4 linked regions of the Arabidopsis thaliana genome follow. The protein of the gene in region 3 interacts with the protein of the main gene of each other region in a pairwise test. Each region holds a gene or a part of one and is shown on either strand. Other genes may lie near its edges. The genes, in order: FOLK, WAT1, APRL4 and AT2G41610.

Region 1 (6,946 bases), on a different chromosome or scaffold from region 3:
TTTGTAATCCTTTCTCTCAAACAGAACACATCCCATTTGATGCAAAGACAAAGCCTTTTGCCAGTTTGTACGAGCAAACTCTCGAGTTCTCTCTAGCAATATCAGCATAGTGTCCGTCGTGAGTTTCTCTTCCATGCCTACTTGGCTGAGGAAGTAGTACAACAGGAACACACACTCTGAACCCAGAAAAGCTAATTGCTCTTTTGCTTCGGAACTGCAGAAGAATCTCATCACTTTGGGATTGTGAAGAGACTGAGGAAGCTCTCTCAGAAACACCTGCAAGCAAGCAGATAAGAGAAGCGTTGTGCGTTCCTCCAACGCGTACTCTACAAAGGTTAAAGCTTTATCAAGGTCAGTGACAGAAGCAGCCAAGCGAGCCTCACATTCAGACTTCAGATCATCGCAACAGAATTTGCTGGCTAATTGAAGCAGCTCAAATACAGTTTCCACACGAAACAGATCAACTCTTTTGATTCTACTATATATGTTGAGTGCCAACATTGCCTCAATAGAGATGCCATTTTCCGAGAAATCAATCTCAGAAGTTGTTGATTCCACGAAAGAACCATACAACATGGCCTCAAAAGGACGCGAAAGCGCTGCGATTCTCGACCTAACACACTTAGCCTTCTCTGAACCTACGCAGAAGGAAATATCGCTAACCTCATCTAGACCCGAAAACTCATCAGCCTTAGAGATTTTAACGTCATCACTACCAAATTCATCCTCACATACCGTAGAACATTCACAACCCTCGTCGTCTACATTCAAATCACAACCATGAGTCAAACTAGTCTTCGGACATTCAGAAGCAAGCCCATTACAATCCATAGATTCAACTCCCACAAGTTCATGTTCTCTCCTAAAAAATCTCAACCAAGCAGAGAAAACAACCTTACAAGGGACATCAATGGCGTGCCTCCTAGCGTTGAGAAGGCACCTACGCAAGAGCTTGGCATCACCGAGACTGCGGAGAACAGCGTACTGCTCAAGGTAGAGCATCGATGCCTCGGATTCCGAACTGGACTCGATTCTCCGATATAGATTTGATAATGACTCCACCAAATCGATAGGTTTGAGGTAAGAGTCCAAGGGAGGCTCGAGGAGGTCTGTGGTGGGAAAGCCATGAGGGAGAAGTGAACGAGATTTGGATTTGGGATGCCCAAGGAACTTCATCATTCGAGGGCTACCATTGCTGCTTGTAGAGGGAGAGTCTTGTGTAGTAAAGGCGTGGACTTGAGTGCTTTTAAATCTCTCAAAGAGTTTGAGATTGCGCATTTTGCTATATCACAGAAATCTGAGAAAAGGGTTTGATTTTGAAGTAAAGAGAGAGTGAGGGAGACGGAGAGAGCAAGAGAGAGAGAGAGAGAGAGAGAGAGAGAGAGAGAGAGAGAGAGAGAGAGTTGAAAACACAAGCTCTGTCTCCGGTGACAACACACAGTGCAGAGACAAAAAGGAGAGAGAGAGAGAGAGGAAGAAGAAGACGATGAAGTGTGATTGAGAATATAAATTATTTTTATAAAAAGGTCAATAATTTGGGGAGAAAAAAGAGTAATGGCGTCGATTTTTGCAAACCCAAAAAACATTTATATGGAAAAAAAATGGTCGAATCTCATATCTGTTTTTCTTTCTTTTATGCATTTTTTTGTGGAACAGTTTACGAACTTCAACAGTTGGTGGTTCTTATTGGGTGCGATACGAACCAGACCACTTTCCTTTCTCTTTCCTTTTTGTGTAAAGACCACTTTCCTTTTTTAAAACAATATTTTGTTTCTGTTTTTTTGGTGAGGAAATATTTTGTTTCTTTGTTAAATTGTTATTTTTTTCCATATTTGAAGATATTGGTATGGCTTTTAATTTGTGAAAATTTGGGTTTATTACAGAGTTATATGATGATTAAATATAGTTTAGAGAATTATAGATGGTTGGTTCGTTTCGGGTATAATTAAAATAAGCCTCTCTGACTATCCAACGTCATTGATTCATGTGATGCCAAGATAGGTAGGTTAACTAGTTATGTGGTTTCTTATCGGTTATCTCCTATCTAAACAATTGAGCTTAACATTAAACTTTGAAGATATTAACTTATCTCTCTAATGAACGAAAAAAATTCAGTTTTATTGGTTGATTGGTTATGATTTCAATGACTAACAAAGAAATGGTCTTTAATTTATGTACAGCATGAATTTACTCAATTTATTACATACAACATGATTTCAAAAAATTGCTTAAAATTTTGCAAAACATTTCTTTACTGTGATCACACTAATCATTTGTTAATCTGGTGTCTACTTTTTTACTCGCTAACGTGAGCGTGTATATTTATATTTTCTGAGATCTTCATAGTTTTAGGTTTTTAGCTTGTAGTTAGTTTTTTTTGTTCTCGATATTGGACCAACAACTATCAGGAAACGCATAATTTATTATATATATAAAAAACTCTCATAAAACGTACTGTATTAAAACAATAACAAATAAAAAGTGGAGAGAACTATATCCAGAACCAATTCTGATGTTCTTTTGCCCGCACACCTGGAAAACACATGCAAGTGTACTCTTTAAAGATAAACATATATACCATTTGCGAAATAATTGAGGATTTTTTTTCTTTTGCCAACAGATAAATAATATAAGATTGTTTCAGAAAAAAAATAAAGATGGATAATTGAGGATTAGGTTGGCATTATTTGATGCAAAAAATACTAAAGAAAATCTCACATTGAAATCAATTAAAATAATTTTCTTATGGTATATACAAGTTGATGCAAAATTGATAAAAGATTAAACAAGGCAAGAGACGTGTGGTCATGTGTCTCGGCAACCCATGTGAGGGAATCTGAATCACTTTTTTTTTTTTTTTTTTTATGTTTCTCGAATCTGAGTAGCACAATAATTGAATTGTGTTTCGTAACTAAATTAGGGATTTATTAATCATGAAAAATTATTTGATGAAATCAAATTGTGGTCCGTCTAGTTGACTTATACCAGCCCAAATTATTTAGCGAATATAAAGCCCAAACTAGGCCCACAATAACAAATTATGCGTTTCCTCAAACGAACACCACCATGTCATGAACCATTCTAGCCGAATCCAAATAGAACGAAACTAAAATTGCTTTAATCCATATGTGACCAGATAAAGTAAAACACTCCTTTTGGGGAAATAAATATCCACTTTTCACCATCTTTTTGGTAAACAATAAAACAAACCAAATTTTGTGTGCTTGAGCAACAACAACTACCAACCAGTTACTGTCAAAAAAAATAAATGAAAACGTAATCGAAGAAAAGGTCGTGTTTTCTAGTGTTGCAGAAAATGGCAACTACTAGTACTACTACAAAGCTCTCCGTTCTCTGCTGCTCTTTCATTTCATCTCCTCTCGTTGACTCTCCTCCTTCTCTCGCCTTCTTCTCTCCGATTCCACGATTCCTCACTGTCCGAATCGCGACTAGCTTTAGATCGAGCTCTAGGTTTCCGGCCACCAAAATCCGCAAGTCTTCACTCGCCGCCGTGATGTTTCCGGAAAATTCGGTTTTATCAGATGTCTGCGCGTTTGGAGTCACTAGCATCGTTGCGTTCTCGTGCCTCGGTTTCTGGGGAGAGATTGGCAAACGTGGCATCTTCGACCAGGTTTTCGATCATTCAATTCACTTAATTAAATTATACACGCGTCGATTTGTTGAATAACGTTTTTGGAATGTTGCTCGATTCTGCAATTTCTGGTTAAAGCAACTTTGGATTCAGAGTAATGGTAGTAGTAAGCTTTATCGAGTAATGGATGGCATTAATGGCGAGGATAATAAATCTTATTAGTTCAAGAAATTATAGAATGTGAATGGATACCTATTTTGGGGTGGAAGAACACTGCGATAAACAATGGGAAAGTAACCCCATATCTGGTAAATTAGTGGGAAAATTGCTCAGAACCCAATTTGGGGATGAAATTTTTTTGAAATTCGTGCGGTATAATCACAATCTCATCGTAACTTGAAGATTCAACCATATTTATGATATATATGAATTTTGTAGGTTTAAATGTTGCACAATTTCTTTGCTATACTTTGAAGGATTATTTCTTCGTATGAGTCAGTCTATACACATATTGGACATGGCTTGTTTTTTTTTCCTTTCTCTTATGTGTTTCTCCGCAGTGACTTGTTTTTCTTCAAGTAATTTGGTTAGGAGTAGAGGAATTATCTATGATTAGCAAAAATTCTATTAAACATTTTTGGTTTGGGAATACCTGTATGGCTTCAGCTACTTGATTTTGTTTCTCTGACCTTATCGTGATTAAGATATCATCTCAGAACCCATTGAATTTATAAGATCCACAGGCTGTCTGATGTAGGACTGACTCCACTTTCATGGTTTTATTGAATGAGGCATTGGTTTAACATCTGTGGTTGACATTGGTGTTATTTCTTATTTTTCAGAAACTCATCCGGAAGCTTGTGCATATAAATATTGGGCTAGTTTTTATGCTTTGCTGGCCGCTGTTCAGGTAATAATACGGAGTGAAAGGATCGATTTTGATGTACCAGCTTGCTTTTCTGCTTCACCAGTTTATTTCGATATCAATTGTTTCAGTTCTGGAATCCAAGGAGCACTTTTCGCATCTCTTGTACCTGGACTCAATATAGTAAGGATGCTATTGCTGGGGCTTGGAGTGTACCACGACGAAGGAACAATCAAGTCAATGAGCAGACATGGAGATCGCAGGTAGCTGAATCGAACAAGTGTCTGTCACAATATCCAACAATCTCTTAGCATTCTTGGTATCTATGATCAAAATTCGGTTTGTCTGTTTATTATTGCTTTTGTCACTTCACAAAGTGTCTGTAGTCGCTCTCTGCATCAGGGAACTACTTAAGGGGCCGCTTTACTATGTACTGTCAATCACATCAGCCTGCATCTACTATTGGAAATCATCCCCAATCGCGATTGCGGTGATATGCAACCTTTGCGCAGGAGATGGTAAGTACAGTTAGCTCTGGTTTGATCCAATAACATTAGCAACTTTTGTCTTAGGAATTTGAATCCATTGAATGATGATTCTAATACACACACTTGCTGTTAAAAGGTATGGCTGACATTGTGGGTCGGCGGTTTGGAACAGAGAAGCTTCCTTACAACAAAAACAAATCATTTGCTGGTAGCATTGGAATGGCCACCGCCGGGTTTCTAGCATCTGTTGCGTATATGTACTACTTTGCTTCATTTGGTTACATCGAGGATAGCGGGGGAATGATTCTTCGTTTCCTCGTCATCTCTATAGCATCAGCTCTTGTGGAATCACTCCCAATAAGCACCGACATTGACGACAATCTCACCATTTCCTTAACCTCTGCCTTGGCCGGATTCTTACTCTTCTAATAATACCCTCTCGTTGTTATGTATCATCAAATAAAGGGTCGAGCTTGATTGCTGATATGGAGGTAAAACTGCATTCATTGTTCCCATCTTCTTCTGTATGTACGTATTAGTGAAACATCTCATATTGTTGTTGTCCACAAATCTTATTTTTCAGCTGCAATTGCAGTTGGGTACAATGTTGTAATGTTCTATCCATTAGTGAGACATATGATGACGAACAGTGACGCTTCTACAATTTGTAACAGATACTCTTTTGTAACAGATATTCAATACATGTTTGTTTGTTATTTGGCCTATGGCTATGTGGAAATGGATTGTTTGCTTACAACAGGTGAGGGCTTGAGTGTCCCGCTCCAGGAAGCCTCTTCTGACAGGTCGGACTGGTGACTGTAACGGCGTTTCAGACAAGGAAGCAACACGAGGAACAAGAGGAAGACGGCGAAGCTGATGACAAGAACTACCGTCAAGATCTCACCATGCATGGCGTAGTGTCTGTCTCTAGTGAAAGTAAGTCGTTCGCCATCTTCAGGACTCGAGGCCTCCACCGTAGAAGTTACCATTAGAGAGGTAATCTCAAATATTCTCAAATCTCAACTCCTTTGCTCATACCTACTTCATACTGTCATGCATCATCTTGGAGGGATTTGTGTCTGTTTCTTTTTCCTCTCTGAAATATAAATTTGACTTGGGAGAATATGTATCAAATGAAAACAATATGTCACCACAGAAGAAAAGAAGAGTTTAAATATATTTCTTTGGGATAATTTAGTAGATGGATTTTTGTATAAAGGTTGGTGTAGAAAGTGAGACTGGGACGTTCGTTAGTGATTGCTCTCTACATATGGGGCGTTGGATTGGGTCTTTTTGGATCTTACGTGCGACGTCGTTTTCGTAATTTGAAGAAAATCCTTTTCGTGTGGCTCCCATAACCGACTCCGTGACTTTCCCGGAAATTTCCTCAAGAGAGAAGCGACCTTGTGTCTCATGTTAGTTGCTTCTTCTTCTGCCCTTATTTATATGAATACAAAAATTAATTACTCTTTGATTTGGCCCATTTAAAATTGCTAACTTCTTCACGCATTCTCGAAATAGAAGAAAACGTGGTATGCTTGTATTAATTGAATGGTTCTGAAAGAGACATTTTCAGAAGAAACAAAAAAGCAATTGTGCCAAACTAGAAGAAGAAGCTATAATCGAGGTGTGCTCTACTGAGATTTTGCATGGGTGCTGCAAAAAAAAAAAAGAGATTTGAATGGGCCATGAGATGGGCTTTTAATAAAAAAATCATAACAGAAATTAGATGACGTGGAGTGTCGTTTTCTTTCTATTCGAGGTGACGGTGAGAAGGAAAACCGTGTCGTTTATATGATTAAGTAAAGAAACGCTTGCCGTTTAATATTTTAGCTTGGCCTGGGTGCCGTGGCAAGTCATGATTGGTGGTTTCTTCGCCGATGTAAAATTCAACAGATCGAGAGAGAAAAAACTCTCTCTCCCTCCTCCGTTCACCGTCGCGACTCGGCTCTACAGTGTAAGCTTTCTGATTCTACGGCGATTTCGTTTCTGTATCTATGC
Region 2 (6,627 bases), about 16 Mb from region 3:
GTAATGATGGTTGGTGCTAATAAGAAACAACGAACCGTCCAAGCTAGTTCGAGGAAAGGTTGTATGAGAGGAAAAGGTGGACCCGATAACGCGTCTTGCACTTACAAAGGTGTTAGACAACGCACTTGGGGCAAATGGGTCGCTGAGATCCGCGAGCCTAACCGAGGAGCTCGTCTTTGGCTCGGTACCTTCGACACCTCCCGTGAAGCTGCCTTGGCTTATGACTCCGCAGCTCGTAAGCTCTATGGGCCTGAGGCTCATCTCAACCTCCCTGAGTCCTTAAGAAGTTACCCTAAAACGGCGTCGTCTCCGGCGTCCCAGACTACACCAAGCAGCAACACCGGTGGAAAAAGCAGCAGCGACTCTGAGTCGCCGTGTTCATCCAACGAGATGTCATCATGTGGAAGAGTGACAGAGGAGATATCATGGGAGCATATAAACGTGGATTTGCCGGTAATGGATGATTCTTCAATATGGGAAGAAGCTACAATGTCGTTAGGATTTCCATGGGTTCATGAAGGAGATAATGATATTTCTCGGTTTGATACTTGTATTTCCGGTGGCTATTCTAATTGGGATTCCTTTCATTCCCCACTTTGAGGTGTCACTAGACTCTCTTTAATTGTTAAGTTATCATATACAAACTACATATATATACAAATATAGTCACCGTGAACTAGGATATATATGTAAATAAACACCAGTTACATGTACTTATATATGTGCACATCTATATATGTGGTTTGTCTGTATAGTGTGAAAGCAGATTCTTACCATATCAAAAAAAACATAAAAACGACAGTTGTTTGTCTCGAAGCTAAAAATGTGTCATGGGGAAAACTATTAAATCAAGTGCAATGTATCTGTATAAAGAAAACGGGATGTTACGTTGTGTGTAACGGTCAATGTGTAACTATTATATGTCTCTGTTTCTATGGGCTTTTAAGTCTTTGACTATTCTCTTGGTTTTCTTTGCATCTTCTTCTTAGCTTCTCTTTGTACTAACGTGTAATCCTCGCGAGTCTTGATAGACTATATGGCGTGGTTTATAACAAACCTGGCCCGTTTATTCCGGCCCAACATCATTATATCTCGGCTTATATATGGTCTCCAGTCTCCAATAACGGGCTATATATGATTTAACTAATGGATTCAAATACGAAATCTTGAATCCACATGGTAGACTAACCTATGCCAGATAACGATTATGAGACAAAGTCGCTTATGCACTGTGTTTTTCCTTATGTATATGAATTTCTTTTGTTAATGAAATTTATTTGTATAAGGTAAATAAGATATGAAATTCTGTTAATGAACTTCTTGTTTACATCAAATTAAAAGATGATATTTTATATGTAAAAAGCTGACGTGTAAGCTGATCCGAGAAAACCAAGAAAGATAATGTAGAGCATTGAAGTGTATATGTGAAATTTTTAACACGTTCTCCTTAAAATAATGCTTTTATCCGTCTATTTCAAACAAAATTCTAATATTGGACCAAAAATTATATATCGAACAACACATCTTTCTCAAGTTAGCTAAACTTTAATACCATGTTAAAATCTATGGACTTTCAACTCAAGAATTGGTCCATACTATAACTTAGTTGGTCCATATTATATTATATATATTAAATGTTGGTTTATTTTTAACTTGTTCATTCGGTTAAGAATTTTTATTGGATATTTGATAATAAACTAAATTTGTAAAAAAAAACTGTTTCTTTAAGAGATCATTTTAATCAAATACTAAAGATCTTTTTTTACTTCAGTTCAGAACAAAGCGTTTGATCTAATCCATTTTAAACATCCCCGACAGTGATAATTACTAAAGATCATAAATGCAAATTATAACATTCTATTGATGATAAAGGAAAGAAAAACCCCACAAGAAATGTAAGAAAAAATGGCACTAATATATCAGCCAGATATTATATATAGAAAAGTCTCAATCCAAAGCTCCCACATAGTCTTCTTCATCACTATCATCATCATCATCATCCTCATGAACAATGATGTCTCATCCACCATTTTTTTTCCTTTCTTCAAAAACCTTTCTTAGGTAATTAATAATTTTTTAGAAAAAAAAAAGAAGAGAAAACACTAAGAAAAAAAGCAGACACAAAAGTCATAAAACACAACGGCACACCATTGTTCCCTTTTAATTGGGTAATGGCATTTGTAATTATTAGCTGGAGAGTGATTTGTCCAAAGTAGTCAAACATTGTCCGTTGACTGATGGAGTAGTGGTGTTGTGATGGACGACTTGATGGAGTTGCGAGAAACAGGTGCACGTTCAATACCATGCTCCGCGGAGGACTGGATCGCTGCCTTCTCAAGCGCTGCAAATTTCCTCTCTTCGCTCTTACCGTACAATACGAAGTAAAGTCCCGCTATGATCAAGACCGCTCCAATAATCCTGCCATTAGAAATATGACATGTGGCACAACAAATTTTAAAATTATTCTTGTTTAGGACCTTGGATTTTATCAAGTATTTATATAAACCACTAATATTATTATAGTTTCATACCCGCCCAAATAAAATTCTTCGCCTAACGCAATAGAAGCCATGATCGCAACGACAAGAGTCTGAACAGGCTGGTAAACAGCAACGAAGACTGGACCCCCTCTGTCAATACACCAAATCTGAACCGCAAACGCGATTCCAGACGCTACGATTCCCTGAAGTTAAATCAATTCATTAGGACCAAATTGATTATTTTGAAACATTAGGGCCAAAAACGAATTAATTATAACAGATGAAAGAAAAACTAACGGCGTAGAGGATGGTGAAAAGCTCCCAACCGGAGTGAAAAACCCAAGCCTGAGAATCTCTTTCACAGAAAGCAGCAATGATCAAGAACTGAATGATTCCGAAGAAACAAGTGTAAGACGTAACCGAGAGCCTCGCTGGATAAGACTTAAGAACCGGAGCTTGGAAAACAAGCCAGCCTGACCACGAGAGACAGTGACCGATTAGGTAGATGCAACCAAGGGTCCAGTTTTTAGGCGCGGCGTTTCCTAGCGGCGCTAAGACGGCGGAGTTTGTGGTGAGTAGATGAGCGTGGAGGTGGCTAGCCGGAGTGTAGATGGTTGGACCTTTATAGAGGGTGATGACGGAAGCTCCGGCGACACAAAGAGCTGTTCCTAAGATTTTGGAGATACCGTCTCTTCTGTTTATTCTTACTTTCTCAATCCTGAATTATTGTTTTTTTCACATACAGTACATAAACAGTATGTTACATTGTTGTTACTACTATGATTATCACTATTTTGTAAGCAAATGGAAACGGCATTAAATATTGTCTACGTGTATTATTATCCGTTTCTTTTACGTTGAAAAGTCAAATGGACATTATTAAAGTGGTTCTTGTATATCCAAGCTGTCCAAAATATTGTTATTTATTTTTATAAATCAAAAGAGAATGAAAATGGAGAGATGTGTAGAGTAAGTGCCTGAGAAGAGCAGCCATGAGAAAGGTAATGGCGGGAACAGAGTTTTGCATGGAGGAAGCAAATGTTGGTGAAGTGTTGTCCAGTCCCAACAAGTAAAATCCTTGGTTCGCTGTTATTCTGTCGTGTAATAATTCATTAACTAATTATCCAAATTTGTTATTGAAAAGATCAGAGTGAAGGATATAAATATATACCCTATGAGTGCCAAAAAGAAGAACTGGATGAGAAAGTTGAGAGTAATCGCTGGTCTCTCCTTCCTAAATTAACACAATTAAGTTTGGTAATTAAATAACTAGCAACTAGAGAAAAAATAGGGTTTTCAAATAAAGAAGTGAAGTGAAAATAGAAGGTTACTTTTCAAGGAAGTAAGCGAAGGGAAGGAGAAGAAGCAAGGCGATGATGTTACGATAAACAGGGAAGACGAGTTTGCTGATTCCCATGTTAAGAGCAGCTCGAGACACCACGTGGAATCCGGCGTAACCGAATTGCAACGTCAGCATCGCTATGTGAAGCTGAAGCTTCTCCGGAACTCCCCATAAGGATCTCCGATTATCGGTGTTATCCGCCATTGGATCGAGCTTAACAATCGATCAACGAAGGAAAAAGGCTGTGTGTGTGTGTGTTTGTGTGTGTTGATTGAGGAAAAGAGTGAAGTTGCGGAGATATAAATATAGGTAGATAGCAATCTCATTCCCCTCTTTGCTTGTGGGAACCACCATACTGAGATTTCTAATATGGTATCTATTAAACCTAATTATAACAATGTGAAATATTGAAATATATATATATATATATATATATGGATTTAGGTATATTAATGAGTTTTTGTTGTTTCCTATCATTTGATGTACACACCAAATATTGTTACTTTGGTCTACTGGCAGCATTCACTCCTTGATTATGATTTTTGAATTGGGAAATAAAATTTTAATTTATATTATTATTTCTCTATTGGGTTATATCAAGTATGATAATAATATAGGTTACTTTTTGTTTTACTATTATTACGTTCATTATTATTTTGTTTACAAAGCACACACACAACATAAATATATTTCAGGGAAAATCGCAAAAGGAGAAAGAAAAACTCAACGTATGATAGTTTTACCTAAGAAATATGATTTCTTTTGAGATATTAAAATAAACGATTGTGTTTTCGGATTTTCTTGGAAAAAAAAGACTCTTGAATTGAAAACTATCATACACTATTCTACTTAGCCTTATTGGAAACTATGACCACGTAAACAAAGTCGGGTTAAACTTATAATCAAACACGTTCACATGCACTTACCGTTACCAAAACGAGATAATAAAGTGACAACGTCTCACTAAGTCACAACTTCACAAACATTTTGTGGATGTTGGTACATCTCATATGTTTTAAAATCAAAATTTGAAGACATTCCCAAAATTTTGGACACTATATTTAACATTTATCATCAGCTTTTGTTTCACAACATGATACATTGTTAGTTAATTATATGCTTTCAAAACAACCAACTTTTCATTTATTGATTTCTAACAAGAAGAAACGACTATGAAGCTGTTGGTTAAATCTAAATCGATTAAACAAAGGGCCCGCAAATTTTTAACTGTGTACTATAGTGTTTTTAGAAAATAAAGAAGAGAGCTTAAAAATGTGTAAAAGGGCAAAGCCTGTCTCCCACATTCTTTTATTTTTCTGCTGTTTAGCTGACATGACAACCCTCACGCCACTACTCATTAACGCAACCATCATTATGATTCTTAATTTTTTGTATATCTAAAATCATTTAATTCTGAAAATCAAAAAGGTAAAAATAACAATAGAAAAAGCACAAAATATATCATTATTTACGACTCTATTCCTCAATTTGCACTCACTATCGTAGACATTATAATGGTTTTAGTTTGTCCTTTCCTTTGATATTTATTGAGCAGCATGGCATTGCTACTAATTATTACTTGTACAGTATAGTCTTCAGGAGAATAACACTCTTAATTATAAATGTACGACATTTCGTTTTAACATCTTTTATTTACTTTCTTTTTTGGTAAATATATTTCTTGATTTTATTTATGTTACATAATTAATTTTGTAGGGACGAGCCCCACGCGCACTGCCGAACCGTGAGACCCACAGTACCTCTTATTTCGCAGGCACACCCACACGATCAATATTTATGTACACGCTTACACCAATATTATTATCTGTATTTGTCCTCAATTATTTTAGTTTTATTTTTCTTGTTAATTTATTTTAGTTCTATTTTTTTGTGCTCATCGAATAGACGTGTGTAATTGTTTTCCAATAGTCAAATACATTTGTATCCCTATAGAATAGAATCATCGAAAATTTTATGGTTGCTTGCTTGTATATGCTTTCATTTTTCTCTTTCTTTTTGTCTTGTTATTTTTGGAGAGATCGACAATGTAAACCCAGAGAAACCAATTTAGTAAATTGTACACAGAAACATGTGCATATCCACGTGAAAACAAACCAAATATGTATTTTTCTTTCCTTCCACGAATGTATCACGACAAAAGAAATATCATGGCAAAAATTGTTCATGGAATATTATTTTGTCACAAATCTGTTTTAGATAAACTATATGCAGCAACATGTAAAACATAACAAAATATAACAATATGGAATTTTCATTACTTCATTATATTCCATTTCTATTACAAAAATCTTTTTTTTTTATGAACAATAACAAAGATATTTACCTTAACATTTTAATACATCTAGTTAAACTTAGTTATACTTTCACGTTACACTAATTTATCTAATTGCTCTATTTTATAAAATATATTTATTCTACCATTATCCCGATGAACCTAAACTAAAGTTTGTATCCTCTGTTCTTGACATAGATGCTATTCATATCAAAATTGAATAGAAAATATCTCAATACACAGCGAAACATGTTTTTTAATTGTATAAGAAATCATTGTTTCTAATAATATCATACTTCTGTAAATATTTTCTACATTTATAGAAAATTGTTCCTACAAAATTAAAAATTTATCAAAATATATAAATAACTAGTTGTAGTTCTAGCTACAAACATTATCACTAAAACAATTTTGTTAAAACATTTCCAGTAATCCTAAAGAAGGGATTATTTTGGGACATTCAAAATGATATCAGCATTTTAAAAAAAAATCGAAACAGTTTTGTAAAATCT
Region 3 (6,042 bases):
AAGCGAAGAAGAAGCTCTCTAATGTCTTTGGTTATGATTTGAAAGAACTTCAACGTGCTCGTTCTTCTTCTACTGGTCAATCTAGGCTTCCTCAGTCACAGAGTAAGATTTTGGCATTTGTTTATTAAGAAGCGGCTGCACCGCGTCTCGGCGATATAGCTAAATGTTTGTTTTCGTTCAATTTTTAGGTTCTGTTGACTCGAAATCGTATGTGCTTGTTAGTGAATTGCCGTTGGAAGTGTTTAAGAAACATGTTGTGGATGAAACCACGAGTCCTGTGACTGGCTTTACGTTTGTGGTTCTTGCCATTGTGCAGCTTGCAGGTGGTAAAATCCCTGAAGGTATGCTGTTACTCGGTCTCTTACGACGATCTTTTTTATGGTTTCGATGTAATGTTCTATGCAAAGTGGTAGAGTGGAAGTCAAAAGTACATTATAGAGATTTGTTTAAGAACCTAAAGTTGTAGTTAGAGAGCAAAGTTGTAGAGTAGAAGTCAAAAGTACATTAATTCGATCTCTTACGATCTTTTTTGGTTTCGGTGTAGTGTTCTCACAATTCTGGGAATCATAGTTAGAGAGCAAAGTTGTAGAGTGGTAGTCACAAGTACATAATATAGATTTGTTTAAGAACCTAAAGTTGTAGAGTGGAAGTCAAAAGTACATTAATTCGATCTCGTACGATCTTTTTTGGTTTCGGTGTAGTGTTCTCATAGTTCTGGGAATCATAGTTAGAGAGCAAAGTTGTAAAGTGGAAGTCAAAAGTACATTATATAGATTTGTTTAAGAACCTAAAGTTGTAGTTAGATAGCAAAGTTGTAGAGTGGAAGTCAAAAGTACATTAATTCGATCTCTTACGATCTTTTTTGGTTTCGATGTAGTGTTCTCACAGTTCTGGGAATCATAGTTAGAGAGCAAAGTTGTAGAGTGGAAGTCAAAAGTACATTATGTAGATTTGTTTCAGATCCTAAAGTCTCTATGATGAATTAGTTTTTAGAGTGAAATCAAGAGTATATGATAGTCACACACTTGATTTAAGAATTTGTTTGTTGACGTCTTTTTTCTTGCATCTATATGTTTCTCAACATCCTTAGAAACCCTTTGGCATCATTTGAAGCGAATGGGATTGCATGAAAATGATGAGCATAATCCTGTGTTTGGGAACAACAAGCAGACCCTGGAGACATTAGTCCAACAAAGGTGAGACCTTTCGTTAACCTTGTGCATAACTCTGCAAGGAATAAACGACTGAGGTGGTTTTCATAGTTCTTCTCAAAAGGTTTCGTCCTTTTTACAGGTTCTTGCAGAAGGAGAAAGTAAGTGGCCCTGAGGGTAGTACTTTGTTTTACGATCTTGCAGAGAGAGCGCTAGATCCTCAAGTTAGCGAGAAAGTAAAAGATTACATTTCACAGGTACTACATAAAGAACATACTTCTTCTTTGTTGATTTTAATCATCTATTTTCAGCTTTGACTAAGATTTGGTATTATGTGAAATGCAGATCCTTAAGAATGATGTAGCAGTTGTAGAGCTTAATGATTAGAGGAAGATTTGGCCTTAGAGACTTAACCAAACAGATTGGTGCATGTCTTTGACTCATGTATTTTGTAAAATTGCCTTGATTATGCAATGTGAGATGTGAAGTTTCTTGAGAAAACAAGATAAGCAATAGACCAATTCTGATATAATATTGACAAAAAAATATGAATTTGACTTTTATAATTTTGCCATCTGATGACATATACACTTCTACTACAAAATGTTCAGCTATGAATTAAGCCCTCTCCAAAGTTGTTGGTCTAGAGGAACACTGCTGATTATACAGGACAAAGGGTAAAACTTTAACCTGAAAAGCTGTAACAGAAACATGATACAGCCAAACACATTTTAGCTGTGACCATATTTGCTAAAATTATAGAATTATGAAGTCACTGAGAAGATGAACTTCTTCTGTTTGATGAGCTTGAATCCCCAATTGAGACAGTGGCCAAAGACTTAGAGGCCCATGCTCTAGCGTTCATAGCCCCTCCCTGCAGATTGCTTCTTCTATGCATGCATAATTGTACAGCTCGGCTTAGAAACCCGACGGTATGTTCTAGCAGGCTTTCTAGTCTCATGTTCTGAGCAATCCGTCTCCAAGTGAACTTCATAAACACGACGAGTGTAGGATATATCAAGTGAAGCAATCTCAACAGGACGAATACAATGGCAAGAGCTAGATAGGTCTCTTGTCGAAGCATATTCTCAGGCGATCTTGCCCACGTGAATGGACAGTTTTCTGGCTCTGTGTTGTTTTCGTTACCGAGATGAGGAACTGATACGCTTCTCTCGAGAGAAGTTTTATCCAATGTCTCAATGCCTACAATCTCATAACATTCCTTGTTAGTTCCACTAGTTGAGCTATTGATCATAAACAACTACTACCATCACACAAAACCAACTCTTTAGTATCTACTAAATGCCTAACCTCACTACAAAAACACTATCCACATCAGGGTAAATACAGAACAGAAGACTAGATATATGAAGCCTTACCGGTAACATCACTGTAGAAAGCAACAAGAGAATCAAGCATTCGGGTTCCTCGGTATCGTGCCCGCATTGTCGAATTCAAAAGTAAGAGAGTGGGAAACCCATGAACTCCATACTTGGAAAGGGTGCTGCAGCACAACAAATAACCAAAAGATCATCACCAAAACAGAACCAAAAGGAATTCGTTTGAGACCAGTTTAAAGATTATCACCTAGGCTTAATGGATGATTCCTTAATGGCAAAATGAGGAATGGAGGAATAGAGAGAAGAGATAACATCGAAACTCGGTCTAAATGACCTTGAGAATGGACACCATGATGCATAGAAAAGCAAAGCCACATAATCACACTTGTTCTTATGAATCATATCCAATGCTATTTGCAACCAACGCTCATCACCCTTCACCAACATTTGATGACATTCATAAGAAACGAAAGATAGATTCTTTATCAAGCAGAAACCCTAGAAATTGAAATCCGAGCTCTAATTTAAATTACCTCGGTGACAGCAACAAAACGAGGACGCTCGTCTGATTCAACACCAGAAACAGAACAAGTCTGATCTCGAAGCCCAAAGATTGAATCTTTAGCAGATTTCGTAGCACAAAACGGAACCCTAACGGCGTCGACGTCGGCAACGGTTAAAAACATGATGACCAATAGCAACAACAAGATCTCCTTCTCCATTAAAAAATACCCAGAAGCTCTCTCTCTCTCTATCTCTATTTCTCTCCCTACGAAATTCACAGAACCCAGAATAGAAATTTGTTGTTGTTGCCGACAAATTGGAAACAGGTGAGAGGTTGATGTTTCTGGGAATTGAATCAATGATGTTTCTTTACTGAAGAGATATTTATGCAGCGGTAATGGAATCTGTTATTTGAGGGAGATATTGAAGAAGAAGAAGAGGTTGTGGTTGCTGCTGGGTACTGGGTTATTGCTCGTAGGAACAAAGCAATTAAGCAAAAAAAAAAAATCTTACAAAGTCATGACAAAATTAGAAAAAAAAAAAAATCTAAACCAGAATTTTTAATAAACCGGAGTTTTTTTTTAGTAAACTCAGAATTTTTGCTTCAATACGATTTTGATTTCGATTTTGGTTTAGGTCTTTTCTTTATAAAAAATATTACTATATGAACAACTAATATTTGGATATTTCAACACGTGGGAAGAAAGAGTATTATTGACTACTAGTGTTTCTTTAATTAAAAATTATATTGTTTACTCAATACAGTTAATTGTTATTTGAGATTGTTTTTTTTTTTATGTTTTTATTAATATGAGCATTGAAACATATTAAGTTATCGACACTGTTTATATTTGACCATAATGGTCTTAATAAATTAGCATTATAAACACAATTCGGTTGGTTCCTTATGCACAATACGATAATATCTCTCCCTTTTGCAGAGTTCAAGTCTTCTTCAATACAGTTTTTCCGCAAAGTCTTTATATACAGTTTTTTTTCCCACCATATCATGCTTTGTTTTTATTTCCCAATGAAAGAGTAATTCTTGTATACAATTTGTTGATGTGGTGATTGTCTAAGTCCTGAAGTGTACTTAGAGTTGGAATCCTCTCAAGGTAGAAGAAAAACATCAAGTGAATATATGTTTCAATGTACCTTCGATGTTTTGTAGTCACATTTTTACCATGTAATAATTAGAAATGTTTATTTTAGAATATAAGTAAAGAAAACAGAGCATCAAGAGCATTTTTTTTTTTGTCGAAAATTCTGGTTTTCATTAAATGTTAAACCGGTACAGAATTGATTGCGAGTAAAGCAGCTTTAGCAGCTGCATCTGCCTTACGATTGTTTTCTCTCTTGACAAAATGAAAGCTAATATCAGCGAAACTGAGAGAGATAAAAAGGATGTCATGTAGAATCCCTTGAAGCTCCTTTGGATGAAGCTCCCCCACGATTGCTTCGACAAGCTGCTGCGAGTCAGAAGCTACAACAAGTTTTTTGAATCCTCGATTTGACGCCTGTTGGATGGCAGAGAAGAGAGCGATCGCCTTCGCCATTAAAGGGGAAGATACCTCTCTCGCCACTGCGTGATCCTGGATCTCAGAGTGATTTGAGTTATCTACAAAAATCCATCCCAATCCCGCATCATGTGAATCCTCTCGCCACGCTGCATCTGTGAAACACAAGATTGCATCCGATTCAAATTCCGGCACAATTGGTCTTGAAAGCAGAGTCTGGTGTCCCTGAGGTAAAGGCTGAGCCAATAACCATTCTTTTGCAGCCGAAATTGCTTGAGATATGACATCCCGACTAGATAGATGTTTCTACTCAAATATTTTCTTGTTTCTGCAGGTCCAGATTGTCCAAATAATCCAGGGGAAAAGAGGGTTTGAGCCAATTTCCACCAGTGGTAAGCAAATCAGATGTTTAGCCGCTTCAAAACCCATCTGAAGATTGGTAAAAGTGAAGGTCGAAAGGGTATTTTTGAATGGGGCTTGCTCCCAGATCTGTGCAGCAAATAGACAAAGGAAAAACAGATGAAGACCTGATTCCTCTGCACTACAATGTGGGCAAGCAGTTGTAGGGTTGATGCCTCGAGCTTTCAAGTTGGCACCTAGGGGTAAAGCATTCTTCAATACTTTCAATAAGAGAAACTTAATTTTCGGGGAGCATTTCTTTTTCCATATCTCTGAGTTCCAATTGAGGTCACAGGTTGAGGTGGAACTTGTGTATGAAGATTCCGCAAAGTCTTAGCTGCGTAGTAGCCTGTTTTGGTGCTATAATCACCAGATTTCGTGGGAAGCCAGATAAATTTATCCCTAGCAACAAACCTACTTGGTCTGAACTGAAAGATCTCTGATTGGTATTGAGGGAGGTAAGTTGCAATCTTTTCTCTATTCCAAGACTTGGAAATAGGACATATTAAGTCCTTAACAGTCATGAGTTGTGTCTCTTGAGTAGGAGGACCCATTGGGGTTACGGATGATGAGAGAGAGATCCATGGTGCATTCCAAACCAGGGTATCAGCTCCAGAACCAATCGATCTTCCTAGTTGGGACTAGCATCAAGAGCATAGATTTATAAAACTAGACATGAATCCGAAACGGAAGTGTTTAAACAAAACATATTGATCACTTCGTGGCTTTTCAAACAAATTAAAATTGTTACAGAATCTTAGATTGATTAATAAAAAAAGTGAGAGGATTACCAATACTGAAGTAGAGTCATAATTGTAAAGAAATCGATGAAGCTGTATGTGTGAAAAAATTAGTTCGTTCATGCTCAAAGGTCTAAATAAAAAAGACACATACCTTGACACTAATTTCCAACGATGTATTTTACTTGTGAGAATAATTTTGTTATTTCAGCAATACTAAAGACACAAAAGAAGACATATTAAGAAGATTGTGTAACATTTTAACCAAGAACAATGATTATATGAACAAATTTTGTGAAAGATTACCTTCAAGTAGAGTAAGATTTTTGTGCCGAATTCGAAATTTTGGTAGTTTCGATCAAATATGTAGCTTTGCTAACATACTCGGCTT
Region 4 (5,381 bases), on a different chromosome or scaffold from region 3:
ATTGGTTTGTTGCAGCTACTCGATGGGAGGTGGCACCGGCTCATAACTTCGTTACTACAATTGATCTGTGGGTGCAGATTCGTGGAATCCCTCTGCCATATGTTTCTGAGGAGACGGTTATGGAGATTGCTCAAGATCTGGGGGAAGTTCTTATGCTAGACTACCATGATACAACATCTATTCAGATTGCTTACATACGGGTGAGAGTGCGCTTTGGTATTACGGACAGGCTAAGGTTCTTTCAGCGAATTGTCTTTGACTCCGGGGAAACTGCAACAATAAGATTTCAGTATGAACGTCTCCGGAGAATCTGCAGTAGCTGCTTCAGATTCACTCACAACAGAGCTTATTGTCCATACCGACCAAGACCTCTCAGCATTGCAAGGGAAAGAGCTCTGTTTAGGGATAGTGTGCATCGTTCCTCCATGAACTCTCAGTCTCAGATGACTGATAGTTCATTTCCAATTCCCCAGACTCCACCACCAAGAATATCCCACCCACCACTGAATCATGATGAGTTTGTAGCTGCTTATCCTCACTTGGACTCAGGTAGGAATGACCACATCAGATGTGAGGGAGAATCAAGCAATTTCAGACAAGACTTGTCTTCAGCTTCAAACTCCATAACTCCAAGAAGGGAACCACAATACCTAACTGATAGAAGACACTTTGAACCTGGTCAATCCTCAAGAAGACATGATGTTCGGGATTTAAGAAGAGGGTCAGAGAGGATTGGGAATCTCAATCAACAGAACTATGTGCAAAGATCAGGAGGGATACTGAAACCTCCGAAGAAACGCTAAACACTCTACCAACTTCTGTTTTTTTTGGATTGAAGTCTGCAGGTTAACAAGGAAGCAGCTTCAAGATACTCCTTTTGGATTGAAGACTGCAGGTCAACAAGAAAAGCAGCTTCAAGATATAATAGATGAGTATGGTTTTTGGTTAGGACATACTCCTACTTATCTTTAAATTCAGCATTGTCTTAGTTTATGTTTCAGTTTGGAATAGGCTTGTTGCCTTTTATGTTTAAGTGGAAAGTCCACTGATCAACTTTTTGTAAGAACTTAAAATGTTATCAATGAAAAGATATCAGTTCAGAGAGAAAAAAAAAAAAAAAGATACCTCAAGATCTATGCTTTTTTTATCGTTTTCCTATGATGTTATGTCACGTTAACACTATAGTATTCACACAATAACTGATTTATCTTTTCCAGAATAATTTTACTAACATAAGTTCTTTTTAGTGTTAAGTGATGCTTGCTTGACGCTGCGTGCTCCGAATTTTTGTTCTCTCTCATTTGCCTTTTTTTTGTTCGTAAATTTTTTTTTATTGCATTTTCTCACTTTTTAGTCCTTTCGGAGAAAGATCAAAAGACATTATAGGTCAAGTATTGATTTACAAAGATAAATACATGAATGAGGGTGGTTATGTAGATGTCGATTACTACTCACTATCTCATGACTAATCATCTTGAAAGATCAAAGATCAAACCAAGCTTGCTTGAAAATTCAAAAGCATACGATTTGGGGTCCCATTTGTTGGAAATATTACAGTTAACATGTATTCGTCGATACATCTTCCCTCAAAACATCCATTGCAAGGACTCTCTTAGCTAATAATACTACTCCTAAGGCATTTTACCATTGTTCCAAAAACAAAACTTGAAAAGAAATGAGCTTATGGAGTAAACACTCACGGCTTTGGAGAATGTGACATAGTTGATTCAAGCCTGCGTAACCAGTTAACGTATTGATCCTGCTCCTTCTTGTTCAGGTGACACAAAAGGAAATTAGTTAAGCCTTCACTGACCCCCTTAGATATTAGGTATTGCTCCAGTGCACTGTGTAGTTTGGGATCTACTTGGCTAAAGAAACAAAGAAAATAACACTGGTCATTGAAATCAAACATATGCAGACACATGAACCTCTAATAGTCTACTTCTTTTTCAATATATATAGAACAATTACTCCAGGGAAAGAACAATGGGAAGTGTACCCAATGCTTTGAGGTTTGGATGAAGTAAAACAGATATGATTCAAGTAACTTAAACAAAATGTTGAGAGATTATCATTTATGAGCTTACTTCACCTGAAAAAATGGTCTCCATAAGTGGAAGAAGGAGCAGAAACAAAAGAGCGGATAAAGTAGGCGCTCTCGATGTCGAAATGAGAAGATCCAGATCCTGATTCGTAAACCCGGCAATGAAACTGCAAGATAGAGCTGAGACCAGGCTTTTTGATACAAACTTTGGCATGAGCTTCCCTAGGAAACACTAAATCATCTTCTAGTTCTATAGGTTCTGGTTGCAATAAAGCAGAGACCACAACCTTCTCGCCTGAATCAAACTGTCTCTTCAGAACAATATCTTGGCTTTCCGGTGAATCCCAATCCAATTTGAAATCTCCTAGAGAACCGGTCTCAACGCCCTGTGGGGTTCAAGCACAAAGCAAAATCATAAAGGTAGAATGTAAGTACTTAAAATCCTAGGGTTTATGAGATCCAACATCAAATTCAAATTCGCCCATCTGGTAAATCACTCTAATGTTCATCAATTCAGAAAAATGAAATTGAAACTGACAGAGTCTGATCGAACTAATGTTGAGCACCATTGATCTTAAAACTCAATTGAGAGATTACTGAGAGCAACGAAGAAGAAGAAGGAAAGAGGAAGACAACAATTTACCTGGAAACGAGGATGGGAGATTTCGTGACGAATTTCACTTTGGAGGATCTTCAACAAATCACCATTTTCAATAGCCTTCAAGCCTCGTTTCAGAAGCGGATTCAACTTCCTCATCTCTCTCTTTTCCCTAAAATTGGCTTCTCTCAATCTACGGAGCACAAAAACTAAAGTAGACTGAATCATGATCCGGTTCGGTTTAATTCGGTTTATTTCCGTAGCAATTTCAGTAGACCGGAATTTAAACGGTTAAACCGAATTCTCAGTTACGTAATCATGCAATTTAACAATTACACAGAACCAATCAATCATCAGCTGCACACCAAACTTTTATTTCCCTTGAAGATCAAGGCTTCTCTCAATACATAGTTTCATTCAAAGGGTGATTTTTTGTATTAATAAACAAAAAATGAAGATAGAATTCAGATTTCAGATAGAGTTTCATTATCCATTTTAGTTCAAGCATCTATAACCAGACAATGAAAGAGAATCAACCATATGATGATGTCACGTCACACACACTCCTTATAAACTATATGTGTAGCTTCTAAGGAAACCAAAAACATATAGATCAAAACAAAAAAAACAAACAAATTATGAATTCAGAATGGGAAATGGATTCTGATAGAAAGAAAACATTTTTCAAATGCACAAAGTGGCAATTCGAGGACACACTTGATCCTATTAACTGTCCTTTCCACTATTTCTGCGACAGCATCTATGCCGGCGACTACCCTCAAATCACCGACGTTCTAGTTTTCTTCTTCGTTACGGTTACTTATTTGACGACGCTAATTGTTGTCGTAAGGAAGGTAATATCAAGAAGAAGAAGAGAAAATGATGATGATGGTGATGATGACAAAGCAAGAAGGTACTTACTTCCTTCTGGTCCAATCTCTCTTCCTTTGATCATCTTGATTCTTGCAAAAGGTCAAAGGATCAATACCCTTTTCCCAATTTCCATCTTTGGACCTGCGATACTACAGCTTGTTCAGCTCTCAGTGCTTTTATTTGAGAACAATATCGAAAAAGAAGCGAGTTTTGTCTTCTTCGAAGCCTCTACTATCTCTGGTATTCTCCACGCTAGTCTTTACTTAGACGCTGTGATTCTCCCCTATTATACAGGATTCGATGCTCTGGTCACATCTACTTTCTCTGGAGTCTGCAAGTCTTGTATATGCAGGAAAGAGCCATTAATAGTGGGAGGGAAGATTGTCTCTTACCGAGGATGGTCTAGTACAACGTTCTTGGTGGTTGGTGTTTTGTTTTTGAGGATTATATGCAAGTTATGCAAAGAAGAAGGAATAAATAAAAGAGTTTTGGTGGTTAAAAATGTTGTGCAAGGACTGACATTGCTTGTTCTTATAAGAGATTGTGTGTACTTGGCCGTTATGTCTCCTGTTGAAGAGCCTATCTTGTTTAGGGTTTTTGTGTTTGGTTTTCTTCTTCTGTTGATATGTGTTTATGTAATCACAAAAGTATGTTGTTTGGTTAGTCGGAGACAGAGTAAGAAGACATCAGACACATGAAATTTGAAACAAAAAGGAAAAATCAGAGGCAAGATGAAGTAAATGTAAATGATTGCTTAATGATGAGTTTATATTGGATGTGATGATGAAATGGTAAAACTTAAACATTACTTCTATATCTATTTATATTTATCCTTATTGTAAATAGTTAAATCAAAACAGTGAGAAGTAGTAGTGTCAAGATGACGCAAGATAGTGGTTACAGTTTTAAACAAGAAGAAATAGAAAAGTGGTGTAACACTTGCTAATTTGCTAGATATTCCATTAGGAAATTGCTTTTGAAAGCCTTCTGAGTTGGTTCATCACTTTACCCGAACAAAAAAATGACTTTTTACTTCTACTAGGCATAAATAAGTCTTGGCTTTTTAATTCAATATATTGGTTATGTTAATGTTGAACAAGATTATATTACAGCTAGTATATATACTGCGATGCAATGTTAAATTTTAGATTTAAACTTTGTTAAAGAAGATTAACCTTAAGAAAATAAAATTCCTAGATTTATAAATATATGACTAACCATACATACATACATATTCAAGTTCAGAAGTCATAGAATTATATCAATAATTAGGTGGTACCACTGTACTATCTTGTATTGTTATTTGTAGCATTGGATAGTTTTACGAAGTTTGTACTTATACATAATGATTAATGAGATCGTCGATCTCTGGTATGCTATTCCGATGACTAATTTATCCCCAAGAACCTACGAACAGAGATTATTGTTACATGAGTTCTCATTGATCATGGGTGTACTTTTATTGATATTAATTGATGAGATTCTAGATCGAACCTCACTTAAACATAAAACATACGAGAAGAAGAGATTCGTGATCCGTAGTAGCTCTGCTTATTCAGATATGACCACACCAATAGAGATGATAAGGACCCAAAAGCATGTACTTACCGAATTACTATGGCTATTGTAAACTTATGCTTAAATCCACGTAGAATTCAACCATAAGCCGGCGTAAAGTAGGTTTAGGTAAACTATAAATGATTAGTCTAAATTTTTAATTTTTTTTTTGTCAATCAATGATTAGTCTACATAAAAAAATATTTCTAGCCCTAACAATTTGCTCAAACACTAATAATATATAGAAGGTTTTGTTAATCAAGTACGCAAGTGAATTTTTGTGCGAAATTAGTTTTTATTTTATTATTA

The links.
Region 1: the proteins of APRL4 (region 3) and FOLK interact in a protein complementation assay, tested with the Arabidopsis thaliana proteins (one large-scale study listed by BioGRID).
Region 2: the proteins of APRL4 (region 3) and WAT1 interact in a protein complementation assay, tested with the Arabidopsis thaliana proteins (one large-scale study listed by BioGRID).
Region 4: the proteins of APRL4 (region 3) and AT2G41610 interact in a protein complementation assay, tested with the Arabidopsis thaliana proteins (one large-scale study listed by BioGRID).

The regions. Positions count from the first base shown.
Region 1 is NC_003076.8:23,667,197-23,674,142, forward strand, and holds FOLK (Phosphatidate cytidylyltransferase family protein), read left to right. Parts: upstream 1-3,070; 5' UTR 3,071-3,316; coding exon 3,317-3,631; intron 3,632-4,434; coding exon 4,435-4,502; intron 4,503-4,588; coding exon 4,589-4,720; intron 4,721-4,859; coding exon 4,860-4,975; intron 4,976-5,081; coding exon 5,082-5,374; 3' UTR 5,375-5,673; downstream 5,674-6,946. Other genes in the region: EOL2 (ETO1-like 2), read right to left, coding at 1-1,278; AT5G58570 (uncharacterized protein), read right to left, coding at 5,674-5,934. UniProt on the Arabidopsis thaliana protein: Kinase involved in negative regulation of abscisic acid (ABA) signaling. Substrate preference is farnesol > geraniol > geranylgeraniol, but has no activity with farnesyl phosphate. Can use CTP > ATP > GTP = UTP as phosphoryl donor.
Region 2 is NC_003070.9:28,336,066-28,342,692, forward strand, and holds WAT1 (Walls Are Thin 1), read right to left. Parts: upstream 4,211-6,627; 5' UTR 4,027-4,210; coding exon 3,812-4,026; intron 3,715-3,811; coding exon 3,652-3,714; intron 3,575-3,651; coding exon 3,458-3,574; intron 3,199-3,457; coding exon 2,778-3,198; intron 2,684-2,777; coding exon 2,532-2,683; intron 2,419-2,531; coding exon 2,217-2,418; 3' UTR 2,123-2,216; exon of another isoform or gene 1,717-2,122; 3' UTR 1,661-1,716; downstream 1-1,660. Other genes in the region: AT1G75490 (Integrase-type DNA-binding superfamily protein), read left to right, coding at 1-600. UniProt on the Arabidopsis thaliana protein: Required for secondary wall formation in fibers, especially in short days conditions. Promotes indole metabolism and transport (e.g. tryptophan, neoglucobrassicin and auxin (indole-3-acetic acid)). May prevent salicylic-acid (SA) accumulation.
Region 3 is NC_003070.9:12,746,912-12,752,953, forward strand, and holds APRL4 (APR-like 4), read right to left. Parts: upstream 3,596-6,042; 5' UTR 3,214-3,595; coding exon 3,025-3,213; intron 2,927-3,024; coding exon 2,739-2,926; intron 2,656-2,738; coding exon 2,531-2,655; intron 2,355-2,530; coding exon 1,924-2,354; 3' UTR 1,660-1,923; downstream 1-1,659. Other genes in the region: AT1G34770 (melanoma-associated antigen G1-like protein), read left to right, coding at 1-102, 189-341, 1,091-1,196, 1,294-1,408, 1,497-1,538.
Region 4 is NC_003071.7:17,343,901-17,349,281, forward strand, and holds AT2G41610 (uncharacterized protein), read left to right. Parts: upstream 1-3,256; 5' UTR 3,257-3,280; coding exon 3,281-4,213; 3' UTR 4,214-4,339; downstream 4,340-5,381. Other genes in the region: AT2G41590 (Ta11-like non-LTR retrotransposon), read left to right, coding at 1-803; AT2G41600 (Mitochondrial glycoprotein family protein), read right to left, coding at 1,697-1,868, 2,093-2,430, 2,688-2,870.